2 linked regions of the Caenorhabditis elegans genome follow. The protein of the gene in region 2 purifies or fractionates together with the protein of the main gene of each other region. This does not show direct contact. Each region holds a gene or a part of one and is shown on either strand. Other genes may lie near its edges.

The links.
Region 1: the proteins of pie-1 (region 2) and let-418 purify together in Caenorhabditis elegans (affinity purification with western blotting, with the first as the bait; one study listed by BioGRID). This does not show direct contact.

What each region holds. Positions count from the first base shown.
Region 1 is NC_003283.11:5,824,930-5,832,859, forward strand, and holds let-418 (Protein let-418), read left to right. Parts: upstream 1-1,903; 5' UTR 1,904-1,931; coding exon 1,932-2,261; intron 2,262-2,330; coding exon 2,331-3,323; intron 3,324-3,371; coding exon 3,372-4,450; intron 4,451-4,501; coding exon 4,502-5,831; intron 5,832-5,902; coding exon 5,903-7,248; intron 7,249-7,299; coding exon 7,300-7,571; intron 7,572-7,625; coding exon 7,626-7,765; 3' UTR 7,766-7,902; downstream 7,903-7,930. UniProt on the Caenorhabditis elegans protein: Part of a NuRD (Nucleosome Remodeling and Deacetylase) complex which is implicated in the synMuv B pathway that negatively regulates specification of vulval cell fate.
Region 2 is NC_003281.10:12,424,919-12,429,716, reverse strand, and holds pie-1 (Pharynx and intestine in excess protein 1), read right to left. Parts: upstream 2,825-4,798; coding exon 2,540-2,824; intron 2,487-2,539; coding exon 2,379-2,486; intron 2,336-2,378; coding exon 2,210-2,335; intron 1,175-2,209; coding exon 1,086-1,174; intron 1,030-1,085; coding exon 630-1,029; 3' UTR 522-629; downstream 1-521. Other genes in the region: snr-6 (putative small nuclear ribonucleoprotein E), read left to right, coding at 103-158, 206-422. UniProt on the Caenorhabditis elegans protein: Maternally provided pie-1 is required for germline cell fate determination. Functions as a repressor of RNA polymerase II-dependent gene expression in the developing germline. Required for expression of nos-2 in P4 germline blastomere cells.

The sequences.
Region 1 (7,930 bases), on a different chromosome or scaffold from region 2:
TGACAACTTTGAGTAAAAAACGATGACACATGCCTGAAAATGATGTTGGTTATATTTCCTTTGTACAATTTGTTTTTGGGAACTTGGGGATCTTGCTTTAAAATATTCAGAATTAGTCGATTTCTGTAAAAGCCAAATTACCAAATTTGTGGTAAGTTGACAGATATATCATTTTAAAGTTTGGACATTTGAGTACTCTATTATGTCAACACAAAATTCTGAGAATGCGTATTTCACAACATATTTGAAAGTATCTCATAGCGAAAACTACAGTAACACTTTAACTGATTACTGTAGCTCTTATGGCGATTTACGGGCTCTATTTCAAATGCCTTGTGCAATACGCATTCTCAAAATTCTGTGTTCCCGTAATATCACTGTTTTCGAACATTATTTTCCAAATTACACTTTTACAATTTTGTAGAAAATCTAGCAGTTTGAGAAATTTTTTCAGAAGTTAAGATATAATTTCTAGAAGCTTATAATAGGGCGAATCTAAAGCGTTATACTGTTAATTCGAAATATTAAATGTTATTCAATCATTTAAAATTGCCACGTTTTCAGAAGGTCAAGGTAAATTTGTTTATCCTTGATTTAAACATTATGAACATTTTATTTCTTTTAAATTATTTTTAACTCGCATAAACACGTGTTTTGAACTTCTAGATCTTTTTCTTCACTGCCGTGCATCGATTTGAATCATTTTCCGCTTTTGCGCTTTCAAGGGAGGTCCATTTATGCGAATGGGTCTCGCCGCGCTAAGTGCATTGATTTTAAAATGTTGTGTGTGCGTCTTAACGTTTACTGTCCCGTTCTTTTTTTTTTAGCTTTTTCCCTGTTTTCTAAGGTTTTCCTAGTTTCTGAAAAGAATTTGTATATCTTTGTATAAGAATTTGTATATACATGCTGATTCAATTAAAAATTAGTAAAGTTCCGAAGAAGAAACCTATTTTCGGGAGCTATGCAGGTGCGCTCCATTGCCAGCAGATGCGTTTTGTTCAAATGTTTTCTTTTTCATTTTTTTTTGGCTCGCTTTTTGGATTCGCGTTTCCTCTCAATTTCCGCAATTTGATATTTCTAAGTATACAAGTATATTTCTAAAATCGTCATAAATATTTGCTCGTAATTTTCCCAATTTTAATTCAAAATTTTAATTCTATCAGGACGGTTCACAGTTTTTACCTGATTTGAATCCTGAAATAGATCTAATTTACTAGTTTTTTTTTTAATCCGTAATCCAACGTGTTTTTAATTTTCTGTGAACAACATAATTCTCAACTCAAATTAGTAAAGGGACATGCCACGTATTAATAATTTTCGTTGCGGGAAACACGACGCTGCATTTGGTCACTCTTACGCGCGAAGACGGGTCATTCGAATTTCCATCACTCTCCTCTCGTCTCTCTTTCTCTGACCACCGTCCCAACGAGCTGTGTCCCCGTTCTGCAATGTCCCCGCAGTGTCTCGTCAAATGGGACATATGGGGACATGAAATTGTCCCGTTTCGAATCAATATTTGTTTGAAATATGTTTTTGAATACGGCTATTTTTTCTAACTTTTCTTGTAATAATTGCATTTTCTCGATGGTAGATTTTAGAAAACTTGAAACGTAGGTTGTAAAATAAATTTTAAAAAATTTAAAATAGCTTGACGAGCTTAAATTTAAATTCCTACTTTAGGAATTTAATATTTTCAAAATTTTCTACGTTTTTTAGAAAAAATTAAGGCTTAATCTATCAGCCCAAAATTTACACTCAACTCTGTGTGTTATTTCGTCGCCGTGTTTGCAGACTTTTCACACTTTCAAATTTTGCTGATTTGCATTCGAGCTTTCTAATTTGTTCTCTTTATAATGTCCTTCTTGCAATTATTTATGTCTTACTTATATTAATCAATTTTCAGAAATTGTATTTCTCCTGAGAATTCAACAATGTCAACTGAAGAAGATCCGTCTTTAGTGGACGCGGAAGAATCAATGGAAGAGGGTTCTGTCACTCAAGACGCAACTGAAGAAACAGAAGAAGAGGAAGAACAAGAGCAAGGCGATGAGGCTGGACCATCTGAGCGAAAGCGTTCTTCTAGAAAGAAAGGCGGAAAGGGAGGCAAAAAAGGATCCAAAAAGAGTGCTGCCGCAGCTAGCAAGGTTGAGATTCCTGATCCGTATAATTCGACAAGTGAAGAAGTTTGTGCTGCTATCGGATTGACAGACGTCGAATTTGATTATGATGAAGAGGAGTTTCAAGGAATTTCTAATCTGAAGGTGATTATTCAAAATTTATTTTTTAAATCTCGATTTCTGTTTTCCTCCAATTAAACATCTTTTTTACAGACTTTCTCCTCAATCATCAAGCCACAAATACTGGAGGCAAACCCCGGAACCAACGTATCCAAGATGTACCCGATGTTCCAAGTCAAATATAAAGAGTATCAAGATCACATGGCTGCCCAAGGAAAACCTGTTCAAAAACAAGCTAGAGGTTCAAAGACTCCAGCAGTTTCCACACCCGTCATCCCTCCACGATCAGCTCCAACGAAGACTCGTTCTGCAAGGAGAAAGCGTCGAGATTCCGATGCTCCTGATAGTGATCAAGAGTTTGAGGCATTTATTAAGCAACAAGAACAACTGGAGGACGATTTGGTAAAAGACAAGGAAGATGCTCGTATCAAACGTGCAGCGGAAAGAGAAGAGAAGAAAAAAGGAGCATTGGAAGCTGCTCGTGCCGCTAAAAAAGCAAAATTAGAAAAGGGCGAAGAAGCTGAAAATAATGACTACTGTGAGGAGTGCAAGCAAGATGGAGAACTTCTTCTTTGTGACACCTGTCCCCGCGCTTACCATACAGTCTGTATTGATGAAAATATGGAAGAACCACCAGAGGGTGATTGGAGTTGTGCTCATTGTATCGAACATGGCCCAGAAGTAGTTAAAGAAGAACCGGCGAAGCAAAACGATGAATTCTGCAAGATCTGCAAAGAAACTGAGAATCTTCTGCTTTGTGATAGTTGTGTATGCTCATTCCACGCATATTGTATTGATCCTCCACTTACCGAAGTTCCGAAAGAAGAAACATGGTCGTGCCCACGGTGCGAGACGGTTAAGCCGGAACACAAAATCGAAAAAATCCTTTGCTGGAGATGGAAGGAAATCCCGTATCCAGAACCTCTCGAAGCTGGGAAAGAGGCTTCGAGTGACGATGCGATGCTCAAACCACCACGGAAAATGGAACCAAGACGTGAGCGTGAATTCTTCGTGAAATGGAAGTATTTATCATACTGGCAGTGTTCTTGGGTCTCCGAAATGCTGTTGGAAGTTCATTTCCGTATGGTGAGTTTTAAGTGATGAAGTCCATTTGACTAATGTTTATTTTTCCAGCTTATATTGCTATATTGGCGCAAAAATGATTCCGATGCTCCTCCAGAATTTGAAGAATCCGTTACGTCTCGTCATCATTCTGATAATGATCCTTATAAATTGCGCGAGCGGTTCTACCAGTATGGTATCAAACCGGAATGGATGCAAATTCATCGTATTATCAATCATCAATCATATGCAAAGTCGCAGCAGGATTACCTTGTTAAGTGGAAGGAGCTCAGCTATGATCAAGCCACTTGGGAACGAGATGATTCTAATATTGCCAATTACGAAGAAGCAATCATTAAATACTGGCAACATCGTGAGAGCAAATTAAATGAGGATATTCCTAAAAATGTGCAGAAGATGATTGCTAAACATCGCGAAGCTAAAGGTCTTCCTCCAAAAGAAGACGAAAAGAAAAAGAAGAAGCGTGAGAAGATTGACATCCGTAAAAAATATGAAGTTCAGCCCGACTACGTTACGGAAACCGGAGGAAAACTTCATCCATATCAACTGGAAGGACTTAACTGGCTTCGTCATTGTTGGTCCAACGGAACTGATGCGATTCTCGCTGATGAAATGGGTCTTGGGAAGACTGTTCAATCGCTTACTTTCTTATACAGTCTCATGAAGGAAGGCCATTGCAAAGGACCATTTTTGATTGCCGCTCCTCTATCAACTATTATCAATTGGGAGCGTGAGGCTGAACAATGGTGTCCTGATTTCTATGTGGTCACTTATGTTGGTCTTAGAGATGCTCGTGTTGTGCTCCGAGAACATGAGTTTTCTTTCGTTGAAGGTGCCGTTCGATCCGGACCGAAGGCTTCAAAAATGAAGACGACAGAGAATATGAAGTTCCACGTGTTGCTCACTTCTTATGAGACTATCAATATGGATAAAACTATACTTTCTTCCATTGAATGGGGAGCTCTTGTTGTTGATGAGGCTCATCGGTTAAAGAATAATCAGTCGTTGTTCTTCAAAAATCTCAATGAATATACTATTCATTATCGCGTACTTCTCACCGGAACTCCACTTCAAAACAATTTAGAAGAGCTCTTCCATCTCCTCAATTTCTTGTCCAAAGAACGTTTCAAGTAAGTTTCTGAATTTTTGTGTATTTTATTTTATTAATTGCATTTTTTCAGTCAGCTCGAGGCTTTCACTGCCGAATTCAATGAGATTTCCAAAGAGGATCAAATTGAAAAACTTCATAACTTGCTCGGACCTCACATGCTTCGCCGTCTCAAAGCTGATGTGTTGACTGGCATGCCATCGAAATCAGAATTAATTGTTCGAGTTGAACTGAGTGCTATGCAGAAAAAATGGTATAAAAATATTCTGACTCGCAATTTTGATGCATTGAATGTGAAGAATGGAGGAACTCAAATGTCATTGATGAACGTCCTTATGGAATTGAAGAAATGTTGTAATCATCCATATCTTTTTGTGAAGGCAGAGTTGGAGGCTCCGAAAGAGAAAAACGGAATGTATGAAGGAACGGCGCTCATCAAGAATTCCGGAAAGTTTGTTCTTCTTCAAAAAATGTTGAGAAAGCTGAAGGATGGTGGCCACCGAGTGCTTATCTTCTCACAAATGACAAGGATGCTGGACATAATGGAAGATTTATGTGAATATGAAGGATACAGATATGAAAGAATAGATGGAAGTATCATGGGACAAATGAGACAAGATGCTATCGATCGTTACAATGCTCCTGGAGCTCAACAATTTATTTTCTTGCTCTCCACTCGAGCTGGAGGTCTTGGTATCAATCTGGCAACTGCTGATACGGTTATCATATATGATTCTGATTGGAATCCTCACAATGATATTCAAGCTTTCTCTCGTGCACATCGTCTCGGACAGAAGCATAAAGTTATGATTTATCGTTTTGTAACAAAGAAATCTGTCGAAGAAAAAATCACTTCAGTTGCCAAGAAGAAGATGCTTTTGAATCACTTGGTTGTACGTGCAGGATTGGGAGGAAAAGAAGGAAAGACAATGAGCAAGACTGAGCTGGACGATGTGCTTCGATGGGGAACCGAAGAGTTATTCAGTGAGGATCTTGATGCTGCCGAAGGCGAAGGCTCGGAGAAGAAAGGTGCTGCCGCACAAGAAATTGTTTGGGATGATGCAGCTGTAGATGCTCTTCTCGATCGCAGTAACAAAGAAGAGACTCCAGCAGGAGAAGATGGCGAAGAAAAAGCTGAATGGCAAAACGAATATCTAAGCTCGTTCAAGGTGGCCAGCTATCAGACAAAAGAGACTGAAGGACAAGAAGAAGAGGAGGAAGAGGAAACGGAAGTGATTAAAGAAGATGAGAAAGAACCAGATCCAGATTATTGGGAGAAGCTGCTCAAGCATCACTACGAACAGGACAGGGAAATCGAATTGCAAAAGCTTGGAAAGGGAAAACGTGTTCGCAAACAAATCAACTATGCCAGTGAGAATATGGGAACTGATTGGAGCAAGCAGGTTTGTTTTTTTTCTGATTAATTGGGTTTTTCTGATTAATTTCTGATTAAACATTTAATGATTTTTTTCAGAACCAAACCCAAGATGATGACGATGATAACGAGTCGTACCGTGGTTCGGACAATGGCGACGGCCTGAACTCTGATGAAGATGATTACGATGAGAAGAAAAAGCGGCGTCGTGATGAAGAAAAAATGCCTCCACTCATGGCTAAAGTCAATGGACAAGTTGAGATTCTTGGTTTCAATCCACGTCAACGCAAGGCGTTCTACGGGGCTGTTATGCGCTGGGGAATGCCTCCACAAGATTCTCATCAATCTCAATGGCTTGTTCGAGATCTGAGAAACAAATCGGAAAAAGTCTTCCGAGCTTATGCTTCACTGTTCATGCGACATCTCTGTGAGCCTGGAGCTGATGGTCATGATACCTTTAATGATGGAGTTCCAAGAGAAGGTCTTAATCGTCAGCATGTTCTTGGCCGAATCGGATTGCTGAGTTTAGTTCGGCGGAAGGTTCAAGAATTTGAGCAATATAATGGCCAATGGTCTATGCCTGAAATACAAGACGAAGTTCTCGCTAAAGCTGCCAATGGTTCGGCACAAGGATCTTCAAGAAGTACTCCGAAACCAAAAGAAGAGCCGAAGGAAGAACCAATGGAAAAGGAAGATGCTACTGAAACAGTTAACGGAGCTACATCAGAGCCAGCTACAGATGCTGAGAGTGAACAAAACGCTCCTGTTGACGAACCAATGGATACAGATGAAGCCAAAGAACCGAAAGAAGAACCAATTGAAACCGAGAAACCAAGAGCAGCCCGTCCATCATTCAAGTTCAACATTTGTGACGGTGGATTCACTGAACTTCACTCTTTGTGGGCCAATGAAGAGAAAGTTGCAAGAAACGGAAAAGAATATGAAATCTGGTACCGCAGACACGACTATTGGCTTTTAGCTGGTGTTGTTGTACACGGATATGGACGTTTCCAAGCTAATTTCAATGACATCATCAATGATCCCAGATTCTCAGTTCTCAATGAGCCATTCAAGGAAGTTGGCGCTGAGGCAACAGGATCTGACATCAAAGCCAAGTTTATGCAACGTCGTTTCAAACTTATTGAACAGTCCCTTGTGATTGAGGAGCAACTTCGTCGCGCTGCACACGCCAATCGTCACTTGCAGCCGGATAATGTTGGACCATTGGCTCAACGTTTTGCGGATTTAGAGAATATTGCTGAATCTCAAGCTAATATCGCCAAAGAAAGTTCTGCTGGAAATCGTAATGCGAATGCCGTTCTACACAAAACATTGGTTCAGCTCGACGAAATACTTTCCGATATGAAGGCCGACGTGTCTAGACTTCCATCTACTTTTACACAGTTAGCGACTGTCACCGAACGTCTCAACATGACCGAGAGACAGTAAGTTTTAACTCGTAAAAGCTTCAGTCAATATATGTATATATATTTCAGAATTCTTTCGCGACTGACCACAAAAGACGAGGACGCGATAGCCAACCGTAGCGTACTTCCACCACCAGGACCATTTGTAACTCCAATACTTCGCCAGCAGATGGATGGCATTCAACCAAAGTTTGCAGCTCTTTACAGTAAATTCATGTCTGAAAATGGAGAAAGGATGGAAGAGGATGAACCAGTAGAGGCAGAAGAGGAAGAAGGTGTAAAACAAGAACCAGATGATGAGACTCAAGATAGCGCCGAAGCTCCGCCAGTTCTTAGTGCAGGTTAGTACTAATTCATATGGATCTTAAAATAACTCAATGTATTTCTATTTCCAGAAGTGAATTCCGACGATAGCAACGATGTTCCATCTACTTCCGCTGCTGCTGCTGTCAGTTCTGAAACAGCTGCCGACGCCGAACCAGCTTCCGCCGAAGATCAAGCTCCAACAGATGAGCCAGAACCAATGGAAACTTGAATGTCTTTTTAATTTTATTGGGTTTTACTGTATTTTTTCAAACTTTAAACCATTATATTATTTATTGTTCTCTTTTTAGTTGCATCAATTGAAATGCAATTCAAATAATTGCGTCATGAATCTGTGTAAACGTTTAATCCTGATCTTTTCGTCTTAACTTGTTCA
Region 2 (4,798 bases):
TTTGAGCTTAAATAGCTGCTAAAATCGAGTTTTCTTGATATTTATCTTAAAAATTTGTGTCTTTCAAAAAATATATTGATTTTTACAGATCATCCCGCAAAAATGTCGACGAGAAAGCTCAACAAAGTGATGGTTCAGCCTGTGAACCTCATCTTCAGGTAATATTTTTTCACTAATCAGTAGAAAACAATTTCCCAAATTTCAGATATCTCCAAAACCGCACTCGGGTCCAAATCTGGTTGTACGAGGATGTCACCCACCGTCTCGAGGGCTACATCATCGGATTCGACGAGTTCATGAATGTCGTGTTCGACGAAGCCGAGGAGGTGAACATGAAGACGAAGGGACGCAACAAGATCGGCAGAATTCTTCTCAAAGGAGACAACATCACTCTCATCCACGCCGCCCAACAAGAAGCCTAAATCATCGTTCACTTTTCACGGATCTCTTTGTTCATTTTTCTGTCTCTGTTTCGCTTTCGCACCGTATTGTTCCAAGTTTTCAAGTTTTAATATGTCTTTAAAAAAAGTAAATTATTTTTGGCTTTTTTGGCACAAGTTCATTCACAGGACAAAGAGAGGGGGTGAGTGGATAAATATACAAAACAAAATATGGAAAATACGGCAAAATTAGGAAATAATAGTTGGTGGTGGCTGAGAGAAGAATCCATCGGGGAACACTTCAAACGCACCGCCCGTGGCATTCGGATCAATAGTCACATCCATCATGGGCATGCCATTCGAATTAATTGGTTGATAGTAGTATGTCGGTGCCATTGGTGCATACATTGGCTGGCTATTCATCAAATCATGTTGCTGTGGAATATATTGCACTGGAAAAGGAGCTCCTTGTTGAGCTTGCGGCGGTGGAGCCAAGAAATATGGCATTGGAAATGGCAGGAATTGTTGCTGATGTTGTGGATGATGATGGTAGTAGGCAATCGGCGGCGGACAATCGGAAGAAGGTGGCGCGTAAACCGTCGCATTCGCATTGAAATGTTGCATTTGTTCGACGTGAATGAAGCGGCATCTGAAAGGAAAATTTATTTTATTTATTTTTAATAAAAATTCCAGATTTCCTAGAACCTTGGACCATATCTGCAGTTTCCTCTCTCGAAATTGTGACAAATCTGACGACGATTCGAGCTTCCGTGGTTGTTGCTGGGTCTCCGATTCTGGAAGTAAAATATTGTAATATTTTCCCTAAATTTCACTTAAAAATAAGGATTTTTGCAACGTAAAACCTCAAAAATTCGCTGAAATTGACGATTTTTGTTCAAAATTTTGAAAAACAGGGTTAATTTTAGCTGAAAATCTTCAATTTTGCCAGAAATTGGCTTTTTTTCCGTCGCCACACGGAGAACTTGCCAAAAATGAAGACTTTTAGCCAATTTAGCCCTGAAAATTCGAGTTTTGGGCGATTTTTGGTCTGAGAAGCCGTTTTCGCAGTATATTATATTTTCTCGTTAAATTTCATTTTAAAATAAACATTTTGAACGTATAACCCCAAAAATTCGCTGCGCAATGGATGATTTTTGTCCAAAGTTTTGATAATTTTAGCTAAAAACCTCGAATTTTGGCAATTTTTCGTGCCGCATCGGCCGAAAGTTGACTTTTTTTGGAATTATCATAATTTAATGCACATTTTGGTAGTTTATCTCACATAATCTGTCTGCAGGCGGGAAAAATTTGAGATAAACTACTAAAAGATGCAAAACAAGGATGATAATTCCAGAAAATCAACTTCGGACCGTCTCGACACGGAAAATTGAGCGAAATTGGAGTTTTAAAATGATTTAGCCCTGAAAATTCGAGAAATTTAGGCGGTTTTGGGTCTGAAAAGGCGTTTTCGCAGTATTTTCTCGCTAAATTTCATTTATTATCACATAATATCAGTACTTAGGCGAATATCTTGTAGAAATGTTGGTTTTGTTCGATAATTCTCTACTTTTAGAGTCGATTCACGAGAAAATGTTGCACCATCTTACTTTTTTCCCTTGTAAAACATAGATTCTTCTGTACAATGAAAGAGAACACAATTTCTTCGTGAAGCAACTCAAAAAGTAGAGAAAATTCGAACAAAACCCAACATTTCTACAAGATATTCGTCTAAATAGTGATATAATGTGTTAATAAGCATATTTTAAATGAAATTTAGCGAAAAAACTGCGAAAATTTGTCAAAAAAGCGAATTTCCATCCGATCAGCACCTCATCATGATGCTTCGATGCTGAAGAACTCGATCGATTGATTGTTGTATCCACGTCGTCTCGTCTAGAACGAGAATCACGGCGCTCACGTGGTGGATCTCGGGAATAATACTCTTGGCGGCGTCTCTGAAAAAAAAATTTTCCAAAGATTTCCAGGCTTCAGACACACCGGAACTCTCAGCTCATCTTGTCCGTGAGCATATGTGCAATTGTCGTTGTACGGGCAGTATCCTTCACGGCGGAACGCATCACAAAGTCGCGTTTTGTATTCTGTGTGCTGGAAAAAAAATCGATTTTGCATATTTTTCAGTTTTTTTTTTAAATCAAAACCTTATCCTTCGCCGAGCTATGTCTTTTAGTTGCCGGCGCCTCGTCAATCTGAGCCAATGGAGTGATCTTGAGCGCTTCACGCTTTGGACGAAGCCATTTTCCACTATATCCGGACGACAGCGAATCATTGAATGATCGATTGATTTTCCGTTGATCTACTGAATTTTGAATTCTCGCCGGGCACGTCGCATTCAGAAGACTGTTCGATCGATCGGCAGCGAACGACGTGTCATCTGAGTTGTTGAGTGCAGCCATTTGCTCGGCAATCGGCTTTGTTTGAGCCATCTGGAAAAGAAAATTTGATTTTTAATTGTTTGGGAAACGAAATACTGCAAAAAGAAACCTAAAAAGTGATTGTAAAACTGAAAAAACGGCGAGAAATCCATTTTTGCCGCCGAATTTGGTTACGGTTGGTTTAAAGGCGCATGCCTAAAGTTTTATTTTCGTTGCGGGACTCACAGATTTTTAAAAACTTTTTCTTTATTTTTTGAAGATTTCTGTGTTTTTTCACTGATTATTTACAAACAAAGCTCAATTTTATGAAAGCTTTCAATGTTAAAAAATAAAATTATATTTAATTGAGAAGTGCTCCGTGCTGAATTTGGGGGCAAAAACTCAATTTATAGCGATTTTTATATAATTTCTTATAAAATAAAATTTTTTCAGATGTTTTGCAAACGAATTACTGCGAAAAGAAACGTGAAAAGTGATTTTAAAACTGAAAAAACAGCGAGAAATCTTTTTTTGCCTCCGAATTTGGTTACGGTTGGTTTAAAGGCGCATGCCTCAAGTTGTGCTTTCGTTGCGATACTCACAGATTTTTAAAAAAACCTTTTTTGATTTTTTGTTTGAGTTTTTCAACTTTTTCAAGCATTTTTCTCGATTTTTGATACATTTTTTGCTTTCAAATCCAATTTTAAAGCTATTTTTCCGATATTTTCATGTTTTTCACGCTATTTTCGATTCAAATGTGTCTTTTAATCGTTTTCCGTACGCTGAAGGTCATTTCTGTTGTCCTCACCAAACATTAAAATTACAAATAGTATCTCCCAAGCAAAAACGTTAAAAATCGCTTTAATTTTGATGAAAATTTTCCAGTATTTCCCAAATTTCGAACAAATTTTTTTTTCAGCAAAAAAGATTTTTCGGAATTTTTTTCTGAAATTTCCCAGATTTTCCAGTAGTTCACCCTTTTTCTCCAATGTACTCGTACTCCAAGTACATAAATATGTCGATTTTCTCTTCCATATCACTTTATGTGGCGTAAAGAATACAAAAAAACCGGTTTTTCACCTCCAAAATCGGGCTATATTCTGTGTGAATATACAAAGAGAAACAGCTTTTACATATGTCTTTTGACGCCATTTTTTCTCGATTTTATTTAAAGGTGGAAATTGCTTTAAAACATGCCTATGGGGACACAATGACCGAATATCATGATAAAAAAATTCAAAAAAATTGTCTAGATGTTATATGATTTTTTGAAAATTGAAAAAATCTCAGTTTTCACCTAATTATATTTGAATTACCGCCAATTGAACTCGTTGGTTGGAGCGCGCTTGCATTATTTTCATTAGTTATTTGAATTAATTTTCATTATTTCACTGATTTTCTTCATTTTTGGGGTTTTTTAATCGGAAAATGAAAGAAATATACAAGAAAAATGCAAAATCTTTATTAAAAAGTAACTGAAAATGCCTAAAACTCCGAGAAATACTAATTTCAGTTTTTAATAAACATTTTGCATTTTTCTTGTATATTTCTTTCATTTCCCGATAAAAAAAACCTCAAAAATGAAGAAAATCAGTGAAATAATGAAAATTAATAAAATTAATTAATGAAAATAATGCAAGCGCGCTCCAACGAACGAGTTCAATTGGCGGTAATTCAAATATAATTAGGTGAAAACTGAGATTTTTTCAATTTTCAAAAAATCATATAAAATCTAGAAATTGTTTTTGAATTTTTTTATTATGATATTCGGTCATTGTGGTATTACGGGAACATAAAATTCTGAGAATGCGTATTTCACAACATATTTGGCGCGCAAAGTATCTCGTAGCGAAAACTACAATAATCCTTAAATGACTACTGTAGCGAATGTGTCGATTTACGGGCTCGATTCTTGGAAAAATCCACGTTTTTCGAATTTTGACAGCGATACTCAATTTCTCTTCGTGTTTTCCTATTCCTTTGTCATTTTTGTGTTTATTTTTTAATATTTTACCTATTAATAAATTAATTTGATTTAAAAACGTC